Astyanax mexicanus: one gene and its partner. The protein of the gene in region 1 purifies or fractionates together with the protein of each later gene. This does not show direct contact. Links are inferred from orthologs where the notes say so. Each region holds a gene or a part of one and is shown on either strand. Other genes may lie near its edges.

Evidence for each region.
Region 2: the proteins of poc1a (region 1) and nudc purify together in Homo sapiens (co-immunoprecipitation; 3 studies listed by BioGRID and IntAct, with this or other methods). This does not show direct contact. The link is inferred for Astyanax mexicanus from reciprocal best matches to the Homo sapiens genes POC1A and NUDC.

The regions. Positions count from the first base shown.
Region 1 is NC_064431.1:16,184,295-16,191,637, reverse strand, and holds the start of poc1a (POC1 centriolar protein homolog A), read right to left. Parts: upstream 3,111-7,343; 5' UTR 2,666-3,110; coding exon 2,663-2,665; intron 391-2,662; coding exon 306-390; intron 1-305.
Region 2 is NC_064410.1:21,454,363-21,461,602, forward strand, and holds the start of nudc (nuclear migration protein nudC), read right to left. Parts: upstream 3,093-7,240; 5' UTR 2,977-3,092; coding exon 2,902-2,976; intron 1,360-2,901; coding exon 1,282-1,359; intron 1,149-1,281; coding exon 933-1,148; intron 790-932; coding exon 709-789; intron 305-708; coding exon 191-304; intron 1-190. UniProt on the Homo sapiens protein: Plays a role in neurogenesis and neuronal migration. Necessary for correct formation of mitotic spindles and chromosome separation during mitosis. Necessary for cytokinesis and cell proliferation.

The DNA.
Region 1 (7,343 bases):
GGGTGTGAGATGCTGGAAGTGGGTGTGGCTTCAGCAGTAATGACTGGAGATGCTGGAGGTGGGTGTGGTCTAAAGCAATAATGGGTGTGAGGTGCTGGAAGTGGGTGTGGCTTAAGCAGTAATTACTTGAGATGTTGGAGGTGGGTGTGGTCTAAAGCAGTAATAGGGTGAGGGGCTGGAAGTGGGTAGAGTTTATTAACGCTCTAAACATAAATTCTTTGACTACATTGCAATAATGAAATTTCTGAATATAATTAATAATAATTTAGTTTAGAAAGGTTAAATAAGAGAGCTCTATACTGTACCTATCTGCTTCATGTTACAGTTGAAGTCGATGCTGGTTACTGTGTCTCTGTGCCCTTTAAAGTTTCTCTGGAGGGATGGATCATCCTGAAAAAGCACAATATTAAAAGATAAAGGCACCAGGTTATTAACCCTAACACTAGCGCTATCACCCAGGTCAAATGTATAGCAATGTATATACTAGTGCATTTCAAAAAATGTGAATACCAAAAGTTGCTTTTATTTCAGTAATTATTTTCAAAATGCAAAACTCATATATAATATAAATAAATGCTTTACACACAGAGTGATCTATTTTAAGTGTTTATTTATTTCATTGTTGATAATAATGGAATTTTTAGCCAATAAAAAGCCAAACATCTGTGTCTCAGAAAATTAGAATATTATATAAGACCAATTGGTACTTTCTGCAGTGTGGGCAGTGTGCCAAGTCCTGCTGGAAAATGAAATCTGCATTTCCATAAAAGTTGTCAGCAGAGGGAAGCATGAAGTGCTGCAAGATTTTGTGGGAAAACAAAACTGTACTGACTTTAGACTTGATTTAACACAGTGGATCAACACCAGCAGATGACATGTCACTCCAAACCATCACTGCTCATCAGTACATTTTACATTTCATTTGTAAATCAAGGGATCAGAGTCTGGAGGAAGAGTGGAGAGACACCCAGTCCAAGCTGCTCGAGGTCTAGTGTGAAGTTTCCACAATCAGTGATGGTTTGTAGAGACATGTCATGTGCAGGTGTTGATCCACTGTGTTCTATCAAGTCTAAAGTCAGTGCAGTGTTTTCCCACAAAATCTTACAGCACATTTATGGAGATGCAGATTTCATTTTCCAGCAGGACTTGGCCCACACTGCAGAAAGTACCAATTGATCTTATATAATATTCTAATTTTCTGAGATACCGATTTTTGGGTTTTCATTGGCTGTAAGCCATAATAAACAACAATCACACGTCCAGAGCAACCTAGAGTCCATACCCAAGCCATGTATAATCTGATTTATGCAAATACATTACTTTGCAGCCACCTAGTAAGACCTTAGCAACCACTTAGCAACACCTAAGAAACAATATAGCAACTACCATGGACACCATAGCAACATCTTAGCAACCACCATAGCAACACCATAGCAACAACAGAGCAACCACTTAGGAACACCTTAGCAACTACCATGGACACCATAGCAACCACCACTGATACCATAGCAACACTTTAGCAACCACCTAGCTAATGTATTTGCATAGATCAGATTATGCAAATACATTATCTTAGCATCCACCTAGCAACACCTTACCAACCACTTAGCAACAATATCGCGACCACCACAGATACCATAGCAACACCTTAGCAACCACTTATAAACAACATAGCAACCAACAAGGATACAACAGCAACACCTTAGCAATTAGCTAGCAACCACATGGGACCACCATAGTAACCACCACGGATAACATGGTAACACTTAAGAAATCACCTAGCAACCGCTTAGCAACAGCTTAACAACCCGCACAGATACCCAAGCAACCTCTTTAGCAACCACCTAGCCACCGGTTAGCAACAACATAGCAACCTCCACAGCGAACAGTGGAATCAATTTTAGCTGCACAACTATCTTGTGTTAACTTTTCTAGTTAATTATGTTTTTCTTCATAATTTGGATTACTTTTATTTTTTATTTATTTATTTATACAACTGAACCTCGTTAAAGCTCTGAAATCAGTTTAAATGTTCAAGTAAATACGGTAAATGTGTATTTCATGTAATATGCAGCTCTGGAAAAAAATAAGAGACCGCTATAGTTTCTGAATCAGTTTCTATGATTCTGATATTTATAGGTATATATTTGAGAAAAATGAACACTCTTGTTTTATTTTATACACTACGGACAACATTTCTCCCAAATTGCAAAAAAACATTGACATTTAGAGGATTTAATTGCAGAAAATGAGAAATGAGTGAAATAACAATAAAGATGCAGAGCTTTCAGACCTCAAATAATGCAAATAAAACAAGTTCATATTCATAAAATGTTAAGAGGTCAGAAATCAATATTTGGTGGAATAACCCTGGTTTTTAATCACAGTTTTCATGCATCTTGGCATGTTCTCCTCCCCCAGTCTTACACACTACTTTTGGATAACTTTATGCCTGCACTCCTGGTGCAAAAATTCAAGCAGTTCAGTTTGGTTTTATGGCTTGTGATCATCCATCTTCCTCTTGTTTATATTCCAGATGTTTTTAATTAGGTAAAATCAACTCATTCATTTTAAGTGGTCTCTGTATTTTCAGAGGTCCAAAATCTGGATGATCCACAAACATAGATTAGCTAGTTTTAGTTAAAGCCAGTAAATAACTCACCATAGCGCAGCTCCTTTTCTTTATACACAGAGAAAGAGCAGATAGTCCACACACCCAGCCGATAAACTCACTGGCTAATGTTTAACATTACAATAAACAGAGTCACAGTAAATATAAGCAGATATTTTACTTATATTATATATGTGTTTTTATAAGGAGAGCTGAGTTACAGGTGGCGGTTGTTGTGGAGTTAGCATTAGCTACCTGGCTAACTAACGCTCCCCGGCTCCGTATCAGGTGTTCTCGGGTTTCTAAGAGCTAAAACCAGGCAAACTTCCCGGTTTTATTCACTTTGAACTGAATAGCCGTCTATCTGCGAGCTGTACTGAAATATCCGAATCTGTACAGAAAGTGTAAAGAAGTTCAGAGTGAGAGAAGCACTAGGAACTCGGCTCTGAGCCGCTTAGTAACGAAAACAAACCGCCGACAGATTTGTTTTCCGCGCCGACTTGTGAATGAATCATTTTACTGAATCGGTTCATTTTAATGAATCAAAACTATTAATAAATAGTTGACCGTTTTAATCACCCTGCTATGTATGGCAATGACATTTGTTTAAAGTAACTTATTTGTATGTAAATATATTGCTCTAGAAAGTAAAAAAAATCCATCCCAGGGTTTTGTACCAACTGCCTGGGCGGCTCTGCTTACCCACCTCTAATAATAATCGAAATTCTTTATTTAAAAAGCCATTTTCTTAAAATAAAAAGTTTGTTCAGAGTTAATTTAGCAAATATTTAAAAGTGATGTATTGTTAGAATTTTAATTGTAGATTTTTATAATCTATTAAATAATCACTTTAAAAATTAAAATACAACCAATTAAAAGAAAAAGTGACTGACTTCACTACTTCCCATTCATTCAAGTGACCGTTATGAAGAATCGGTTCGTTGAAATGAATCAAAGTTGGTCGCTAAGACAGATCTCCGCCATTATATCAGAGCATTACTGTTTTAACCGCTAGAGGGAGCCCGCGAGTGAGTCCAAAATGAATGGGGGTGAATGGAGCTAAACAACTAAACAAATTATAAATAAAATAAAAAATACGAATTACACTTAGCCAGGATATTCCTTTAATTTTGAAAATTATAATGATGTATTTTGCTAAAAATAAATAAAACGTACCTTAGTTTTTCTTCAGGAAACCGGTTTTAGGCAGTTAAGGTGCTCGTTACTGCAACTGTAGGCGGATACATAGCAAAAGCATGATTAAAAGGTTTATAACTGGAGTAAAAAAGCTTTAAAATTATGTTTTTCTGTACTAAAACAGGATATATTGTTCTGTGTTTAGAAAATGAGTACACTTTAAAAGCATTCAAATGATTCATTATTTACAATCTCCAATTTTGGTCAATTGCTCCATATGAAGCCATTAATTTTGGACTCACTCGACAGCGCCTCCTAGTGGTCAAATCTGACAAAGATTCACTAGTCTAGTGGGTATTCTCGCTACTAGAGATTTTCTGGGCGACTCCTGATTGGCCAGTATACAGTACGTGAGCATTTTTTTTTTAATCAAAATAAAAGCTCCCTGGAAGACAATATATTATATAAAATGATACGAACTGGAAATACAAATTATACATTAAATATAAATTACATTTAATAATACACATCAAAATAATTTCAAAAAAGTATATAATAATTTGGACAGAGACAGAGATTTAAAAGCGCAGACTGGAAGTCAGCATTGTGGAAACTGCAGTTTAATCAGACCCCCGCTAGAGGTCGGTAAATTGTAGGCTTAAATTTATTTATTTTTTATTTGACCTATAAATTAATACTTACACTTTTAATAAGAAAAAAAAACATAGATGGCTTTAAAATCATTTATTTAAATAAAATAATACTATTCATATATAGTTTTTCCAATATTTTTTCCTACCTCAACATTTAAGCCTGATAAAGGATGTTTGAATCATGATAAATGTATATTCACAAGATTCTAAAAAAAATAAAATAATTGGAATAAATAAATGTATATATATATATTATATGTGTAGAACAAGAGAACCAGTATATAACTGTATAACTGTATAGGCATTTGTACAGTTGTCATGTTCTATATACAGTACTGATAAAAAAGTATTTTCCCCGTTACAGATTTATTATTTGTTTGTTTGTGTTATTATATTTAAATTTTTCAGATTACTAAACAAACTTTAATATCAAACAAAGATAAATAAAAAAAACGTTTATAAATAACTATTTCATTTATTAAGGTAAATTATTAATTGCCTTTCCATGAATGAACTGTGATTAACTACATTTTGTGCAAAGCTAAATTAAATTTCACTACTGTCCAGTGTCCACAACCAGAAGCAGCTAAAAGATCTCAAAAAGCAACAATCTGCCCCAATATGAAAAAAAAAAAAAATCAACAGCAGGTGAGAAAACAGCAACTGAGAAACTCACTGATCTTGGAAAAGGTACAACTTCAACAATTTCTAAGGCTTTGGGACTCCAGCAGACCACCGTAAGAGCTACTATTTACTAATGGAGAAAACATGGAACACTGGTGAACCTGAACAACTCATCCGGGAAGTAACAAAAGAACCCAGAACAACATTTGAAGAAATACAGGTCTCACTTCTCTCAGTTAAGGTCAGTATTAATGATTCAATTATAAGAAAGAGACTGGTTGAAAATGGTATCCATGGGAGAGTCCAAAGCAAAAACCACTGTTGAACCAAAAGAAAACAAAGGCTTGTCTTACATTTGCCAACTTACTGATTAAAACCCTGACAACAGTCAACAGTCAGGCCTCCAATCCTATCTTAGCCATGCAGGAGCGCCATGTGCGTTGCGTGCCCTCAGCGTATACACCCACGTTTCTTACACACTTACACCACAATCCAGCTTTCACATCAACAATAAACAGAATAAAGAATAAAATAACATTGCTGTTCCCTTAAATGAGCTGCTGGCGTACCTTTACAGAGTGAACGAGCAAGTCAGGATCCTCTGCTGAGACACGCAAAAGCGCTGCGCTGTTAAGATACAAATGCGGTTTATTCAGTGGACAAATCTTCTGGACAAAAGTGCAATGAACAATGAAAAGGACAATGATTCAGTTTAAGGGTAGCAAAAAGACACCCAAACAGTGAAGGGTCCTGAGGGTTAGACTGGTGAAGGCTGTCTATGCTGGATATTCTGGCTGAGACCAAGAAAATACAGTTAGGTTATTTTTGCATAAGTCAGAACTCTAAGAACTCTTAAACTTCACTGTATAAGTGACGTTTTTTCGCTTAAACTGATTGATCTTTCTTTATTTTACATTATCTATTGCACTCCAAAAACCCTGTTTTGTCAGGAAGATTGATTTAACAAACTGGCAAAGCTATTTTTTTTTTTTAAATTGGGACTCATTTTTTCCTATGCTGTATTACAACATGAGCATCAGGATCCCATTTGACAAAATCTTTCAACCAATACTATCTGTTTGTGTGTGTGTGTGTGTGTGTGTGTGTGTGTGTGTGTGTGTGTGTGTGTGTGTGTGTATGTGGGATCTCAGAAAGAGCTCCACTCAGCAAACATGTTCTGGGAAAGAAGTGCAGGCTGACATGTTTAAATATTAGTTGTTCTGCTGAAGAGAAGGTGGCTCTGAGTTACTAGTAATTGGGTTAAACTGGGTTTCACAGAAGATAAGCACCAGCTCAAAGCTCAGCTCAGCTGAGTGTGTGTGTGTGTGTGTGTATGTGTGTGTCTGTGTGTAAATCCATAATCTATAATCAAAGATAATCAGAAACAAACGCCTTTTTATTCATTTATTTATTTATATTAAATAGAAATGCAGTATGTATAGCAGGTATTACATGTAGCATAACAAGAGCATGATAACTATTTTTACTATAATGAAATCAGTATAAAATCACCTCTTTCAGAAATGACAGTCTGGGTGGCATCATCATGAGTAATTAGTGCCCCAGCTGCCATAAACTGTGATTACTCAACATTTCACTATAAAACAGCAGCGTCCAGTAAAGACACACCAGTTTAGAGTCTAGCACCAGTTTCTGAGCACCAGTTAATCCTTTTTTTACAAATATATAAGTGCATTTTTATTTAAAACAAGAAAGAAAGAAAACAAGTATCACGTCACATGACTCACATGAGGTTCCCCTTGTGTTTTCAAGCATGATTGTTAAAGATATCAAGTAATTCAAAAAAACTCCTTTTTTAAAAAAAAAATACTTTCTTTGTGCTAAATTGCTTCATAAAGCAGAAATAAAACATGAGCTCTGATCTGACAAAGTGCACAAGTCATAAAGATAGCACGGTTCAAGTTATATCATCATTTCACATTATTTGAATGTTTACTCCAAGTAAAACGACCAGGACAGGTGCTGAAATATATAAAGGTAGAAATATAAATGCAGTTCATTAGAATTTACAGACACAGTAAAAAAAAAAAGAACAATGGAAATACACATTAAATTCAAATTTAAATTCAAATCAAGCCGCAGAAAGCTAATTCTTGTAAAATAGCACCATTAGTATCTCAGACTGAGAGTTCAGTCGTAGCACCAGAGAATCCTGAGGACTGGCTGTGTTTCTGCTCACCGTCCCGTTCACCTGACCCGTCAGGTCCAATCAGACGGGTCTAAATACCATAACAACAGGATAAAACCTGTACTTTTCATATGCCCGTTCTAAAACTTTCCATCGGACAAAATCAAAC
Region 2 (7,240 bases), on another chromosome or scaffold:
AACAAACTTTAACTCATCCATGCATGTTTACATAAATGGCCACAATCACAGAGCTTAAATAAGAATATAAAGCAACAACTGGATACAGTCATCATTTATCTCATTACAAATAAACTCATTAGTGTGGTCATATCTGTATTCGAAGAAACAAAAAGGCAAGCTTGACTAAAGCTCCACAAAATATACTCACATCCACTTCTGACAAGGACTGTGTCCATCTGTAGTTGGGCAGATCTGCTCCATTCCCAGAATTAGGTTTTACTTTGTTCTTATCCTTCTCATCTTCTTCTCCTTCAGATTCAGACTAAACGACACATCAGTAAAACTCAAGATTACCACACAAAACATTTGACAAGCTATATGTACAAGTATATATGTACAGCAGAACACTTTAGTGTTAAAAAAAAAGCATTATATACCCATATAAACCATTTAGTTTTACAGATTGCCAGTGTTTTGTTAGTGTTAGTGTTGTACACTGTAAAATGGCAATCCCATATGCCAGTACCGGTTACACTTACCGGTATGCTGTGACTGAAACATAAGTTATTTCATTTGCATGGAAATCTCACTATACTCTTGAAATTGAGTCAGGCAGAGACAGAGACAGTTCATCTGACTCTGAATACGGCAAATTGATCAAAATTCATCCTAGGTATGTCCACATCTTTCTTTTCCCATTATCATAAATGTGTATTCCTCACTCACCCCTTTTTCTGCTTTATCAGATGTATCGGCAGCACTGCTTTCAGTGTCTTTTTTCTCCTTTTGCTCTTCTTTGTCTTTCTTCTGCATAAATCATGCACAATAGAGAAATGCAAAAGATTTAAGGCACCAAGCCAAACCAATCAACTAATCAAACAAAACAATCAGGTTAATAAACGTACTGTAAACTTCTAGCTGTAAAAGAGAAAACTAGTGGACAGTCTTACCTGATCTATCTCTGTCTGCAGTCTCTCCGCTTCCTCATCCGTCAGTTCTTTAATTCTGGGTTCGTTCTCCAACTCTTTCTTTTTTCTCTCCTCTTCAGCTTTCAGCTTAGCAGCTCTTTCTGCTTTCTCTTTCTTCTCCTTCTCCTGTTTGGACTGTTTGTCCTTATGGGCCTGGAGCGCCAGCTGACTGTGATGGGCAAATGCCTCCTTTACCAACTAAGGAGTAAAGATTGAGTGAAGCACACTATATTACTAAACACAAACATAAAAAAAAGATTTGGAAGAAAACTAAAAAAAAAAAAAAAAAAAAAAGATAAGGGATTGTTTCTATTCAATGACATTAACTCACCCTCTCTGGAGCTCCAGATTCACCTCCAGTAAAAAAGTCTGTTTTTCGTCTGAGAAAGCTAAAGAATGTGTTCACCAACTGTAGAAAAAAAAGTGTTTATTTAGTTATTTCTTCTATTTGCCGTTTACACAGAAAGTCAGGGTACTGACAATATATCAGCATAATTAGTTAAGTGAGCCTTTGAGACAGAACAGGATGCACATAAAATGACTTGCTCGCTACCATTATCAACCAAACACATCCAGAACAATACAAAAATATGACCTAATCATTACTTTTCATAACTTTTTTTTTATAACCCTGATATCACAAATTCTGTTTACTTGCATTCTTGATTACAAGAGAATGAAGAAACATCGGCAATATTTCAGCCGGTAATGCAATAACCATTGCATTAATAAAAGTGCCTCCATACATAGAGGGAGGACTGCAACAAACAGAAAAGCGTTACTTAATGTAAATAGGTGATTAAAAAATATTTACAAACAGAAAAGCGTTACTTAATGTAAATAGGCAATTAATTTTTTTTTACAAATATGCTGCAATTTCAGTATTTACTGTCATTTCTGTAAAAATGATGATCTAATGCTCCCTGAACCTGAACTCTTTTACAATTCCAGCCCCACGAATCCTGACATTGTCATCTTGGAATATGCCCCTGCCATTAGGGAAGGAAAAAAAAACAGTGATGGATTAACCTGGTCATTCAGTATATTCAGGTAGTCAGCTGACCTCATTCTTTTATCACATACTGTTTCTAAACCTAGACCTGAAGAACTGCTGCAACTTTTTTTTTGTATATATATATATATATATATATATATATATATATATATATATATATATATATATATATATATATATTAGGATATACCTTCTCATTCAAATCGTTTTACTTCTTTATATTACTTTCTATTATATTTTAAATGTAATATTTAAGACATTAAAGCTACACAGGAACAAATGCAGAATTCCTTTGTAAACAAACCAGAATATGATTTATACTTTAATTCACACTGTGCTCAAGATGATTGTGGAGGACAAACACTTTTCTGTTTACTATGTAATTCCATGTGTGTTCCTTTACTGTTAAGGTCTTTAATATTAATTTATGACTGGTACTGTATGTGGGTGTAATATATAGTCCACAAATACAGTTATGGTGACAGGCCTATGTTAGCTGTAGCAGCAGACACTGATTGTTGATTATAGATCAAAACTGCTACTTATGAGAAGGTCTGTGACTAGATGCCCAGGGATTAAAGTTAAAAGCTGGCTAAAGTTAGCTAACCTAACTAGCTAGTTAAGCTTATAGTTTATTAGGATAAAAAAAAAGCTAAATAAGCTAGTTAGCTAACTACCTAGCTACACAGACACCGGTAACTTTACCCGTATAACGGCAACCACAGGAGCAGTGCTAGATTAGATTCTCAGAAACACAGCACGGATAGCTGCTGCTGCTGCTGTTCAATGAAATAATGAATAAAACCCTAACCAAATCCCTATCAACAGACAGGCGAGTAAATCAGGTCCATCACAGGCTAGCCGCTGTTAGCTAACCCAGCTAGCCGCCCTGCTGCTGCTGATGCTCTTGTTCTCGCAGCTCGCTTCACACGTTACCTCCTGCACTCCTCCTTCGTGCTGCTGCGCCATAACCAGCAGCATCCCGTCATACTTCTCCTCATCATCTCCCATTTCTAACAGCCCTGAGTCTCAGACTGCGCTCAGAAACAACGAACAGCGCGGAGCAGCGGACCAGCGGAGGCACGTTATTCACAGACAGGAAAACACGCAGCCGCTTCCTAGCTACAGGACCCGCCTCCAGGATTGACCAATCAAACCACCTCAGAGTTAACGGACAGGCGAGAGAGCCAATAAAATACTGGAACTAAAAAAACGTCACGACTCTCGCGCATATTAAAGATTTCCCCCGAGAGGAACCAGAGCCCGCGGAGAGAACTCTCTAGAAACGCCTGGAACATTTACTATCCGTGTAAATACAGACTTTACAGAGACAAAAAGAGTTTACTGCTCCTCACCAAACGCCCAGGACTGTTTAACTCACGAGCCGAGTCTCTTTTCGAATTGTGCTGGATTTATTTATAGGTAAATATGTAAAAAAAAAAAATGCCTGGCCCCTTGGGCTGGTCGATATGGCCCTAACATAACATCACGATATTTGATGGTATTTTTTGCAATAATGGTATTCATTGCGATAAGACAAAACATTTTTTTAATTTAGAATAAATATAAGCTGAGTGGCAGCTATAAGCCTTAATATACATTTTATACATTCAGTAGATACAAAAAAGTATAAACCTAGGTATATTTCCTATAGTAACTCAACAAGATTTATAGTACATAAAATAATAACAACAGTATAGCAGAAAAATGTAAAAAAAATAAACTAATTGAACAAAAATAAACTAATGTAACCAGGGTCGTGCACAGACATTTTGGGGGCCGAGTGCTCAGGGGGGAAAAAGGGCACTTTTTAGCGCACGTGGAACACTTCATAATAAAAAAAACGTTATCTATCATTGATTTGGGCTAGAGCGGCTAGTTTATCTGGTGACCAGTCGGCTAAAGATGCTTAGTAGTTTGGTGCTGTATGAGACATTTTACTGCACAACAAAATGATTTCACGTTGGTGTCTATGTCTGCACACTCTGAATGTAACTAAAAAAGTCTACCACAAACTAAAGTTTAGCACATATAGTGCATTCATGTAAACTGCAAACAGACAACATGCAGTGCAAGTAAAGGCGAAAAAATGTTTTCCTAGCTACAGGACCCGCCTCCAGGATTGACCAATCAAACCACCTCAGAGTTAACGGACAGGCGAGAGAGCCAATAAAATACTGGAACTAAAAAAACGTCACGACTCTCGCGCATATTAAAGATTTCCCCCGAGAGGAACCAGAGCCCGCGGAGAGAACTCTCTAGAAACGCCTGGAACATTTACTATCCGTGTAAATACAGACTTTACAGAGACAAAAAGAGTTTACTGCTCCTCACCAAACGCCCAGGACTGTTTAACTAAACTAAAGTTTAGCACATATAGTGCATTCATGTAAACTGCAAACAGACAACATGCAGTGCAAGTAAAGGCGAAAAAATGTTTTTAAATGGCAAAATCATCTCACAATTTTGTTCCCCTAAACCTTATTTTAAATTGACCTCTACAAGAAAAATCTACAGACTGAATATGGGTGTATCTGAATTTGTGATAAAGTAATTCATGCATTGCGATATTTCCTTCATTTTAATATCTTTTTTACAAGTAAAACATATTTGAAATATATTAATATTATAAATAGAGAAGTATCTGAACAGGTGGCATAAATAATTTTGATTGCATTGCAATACAAACAAATTGTGTCTGAATAACCAAAATTTTACTAAGACTAGCAGAACACTCCCCCAAACTATATTACAGTATAAAATATGCAGACAATAAATATTAGAAATATAATAATACAAAATATAATAAAAAAAAATCAGCAACATATAAGTATAAATATTGTATGATCTTTTATTAGATTATATAATGAACCAGAGTAAAATAAATAAATAAAAAATCATTGAAAGAAATGAAAACATTAAAAAAATATTTTTCTCTTTTTCTCTGGTGCATCATACAATATATACTGGGTTACCTTTTTTGCAGAGTTTTTATTTAGCATCTATAAAACATGTCTATCCATGAAACACATCTGTAGTTACAATGGGTTGAGTCAGACAAATGTGCTGTTGATATTTTTTGCATACAAATTTGTTAATTAGTAAGTGGCAGGCTAATCATGGAAACATGTCTGTAATTTCTGGAACTGCTTAAGCAATGCTTTAGCAATTTATGCCTTAGTCCACTTTCTCTGGATGCTCCACATTAGCACATTTTGGACTTTGTCCATTATTTGTATTGAATCTAATACATTTCTTCCTTATTGTGAAATTCACAACATATCTGGGTAGGCCTATTCTAACTAGTACTTGTCTTATTTGTTACACACATAAAAAAAATATAATTTATTTAGCTGGTTGTTATGAATCCAGGTCAGTTCATAAGCTGGCCATCCCATAGCTGCAATATACAGTAGGACCAAGCTGTCCTGTTTGGCATATTCATTAGAAAGGCTGTAAAAGGATGTTGCACAAATCAGTATCTTGACACGAGCAGTGATTAGTAAACTCTCCGTTCAGTCATTGACCGACAGTGCAGTTTTTCTGTGTCAGCCAGATAATGTATCTGTAGTAGCTCTATCATACAGATAGACCCATTACAAATGAGTACAGACCTTTCACCTAATGCACTTATTTACTTACTTTTGCTAAAACCTTGTGTTACCTGCAGATGCAGATACCAAACCAGTTTTAATATGTATTAAGGGTCCATATCAAAATATACTAAGTAAAGCAATCGAAACATAGTGTGAACGTTTTAAAACATCTTATTAATTTTTCTAGTCAATGAAAATTATAGCTGAAATATGGCAACTAACCTGTTTAGAATTTATATTTTTATGATGAAATTAAAACTGGTGCATGTAGGCACATACAGCTCCCTTTTCGGCTGCCAGTGTTTGAGCCAGGTCTTCTTTTTAAAAAAAGGCACAACAATTTGTAAGATCAGCAACAAAGGGACTTTATAGGAGAGAGAAAAAACCTTGTAAACTTTTAATGGAAGTCAGTGTAATAAGAGTTTATTTCAGGTCATTTTGAAGAGTTTCTATTGGTACGTTCATCAATAAATTTTGACAGTGTAAGGGACAGTTTGTCTGTTCAAATTATGTTGTAAACTAAAAATCCACAATAATGGAGATAAGTGTTTGTCATAGGACAGCGACAAAACTATTCGTTCAAAACTATTTAAGATGGTTGGCTAATTGTACACACTACTAACTGTGCAATTAACCACACCATGACTTGCATCTTCTAGCATGCTAGGCTACTGAATGTGGTGTATTATGTGCCACTTCAAGCATTATGTACTTGAAGTGCCACATAATAAGGCACACCAAGGTGGTACACCACCAAATAGCCTAATTGTTGTTTTTAATGTATCAAAAACAAAATATTATACATGCAATTGCATGTGGGCAGCAGGGGATGTCCCTGGGTCTTATGAATGTGCCTGGTTTCATATCTGACAACTGTCAGATATTGTCATTGTTGGATAAAACCATAATTTTCTCACATTTTTTCACACTACAAGGCGCACTTAAAATCCTTTAATTCTCCCAAAAATAATTAGTGTGCCTTTTAATCCGAGTATATCCAAGTATATCAGACTGTAGCCGGCTGCTAACGCTGGCTAGCACTACTGGAGCAGTAGTAGCATTAGCTGCTAACCGCGCTAAGTGCTAGCTCTTTCGACATTTAGCGGTGAGTATATCGGACTGTAGTCTCCATGTTTACCGTGTTAAAACAAGCTACATGCGATGAACCGCTAGCTAATATCAACCTGGCTTACCGGAACACTAAGAGTTCCTCAGTGTAGCCCTGTCGGCAGTATTTACTAGTGCTAACTGTGGTTAGAGCTAGTGGTTAGCTGCTAATGCTAAAGCTGCTGGCTGCTAAGCTTACTGTAAATAAACGCAACCGCTTTACTCACATTTTCAGGAGAGGAATCTGTGTAGATTACCATCCAGCACTCGTTTGGCTTTAATGCGCATTATAACCCAGTGCACCTTATAATGTGAAGATTTATTTCGCATTATTTCTATTAGAATTTGCAGTATACATTTCAGTAGCAATAATTCATTGTGTTTCACATTACAGGTGTGGCCATTCCCAAGCTGTCCCCTGATATAAAATTCATGATAAATTTATATAATGCTATTCCATGACTGTTGGCACACTAGATGCTTAAGCTTAATGGATCTTTGCCAAGATAAACTATAGTTGGAAAATTAAATGAAAATATTCTATCCTATATTTCTCTTTTACATAAAACCAA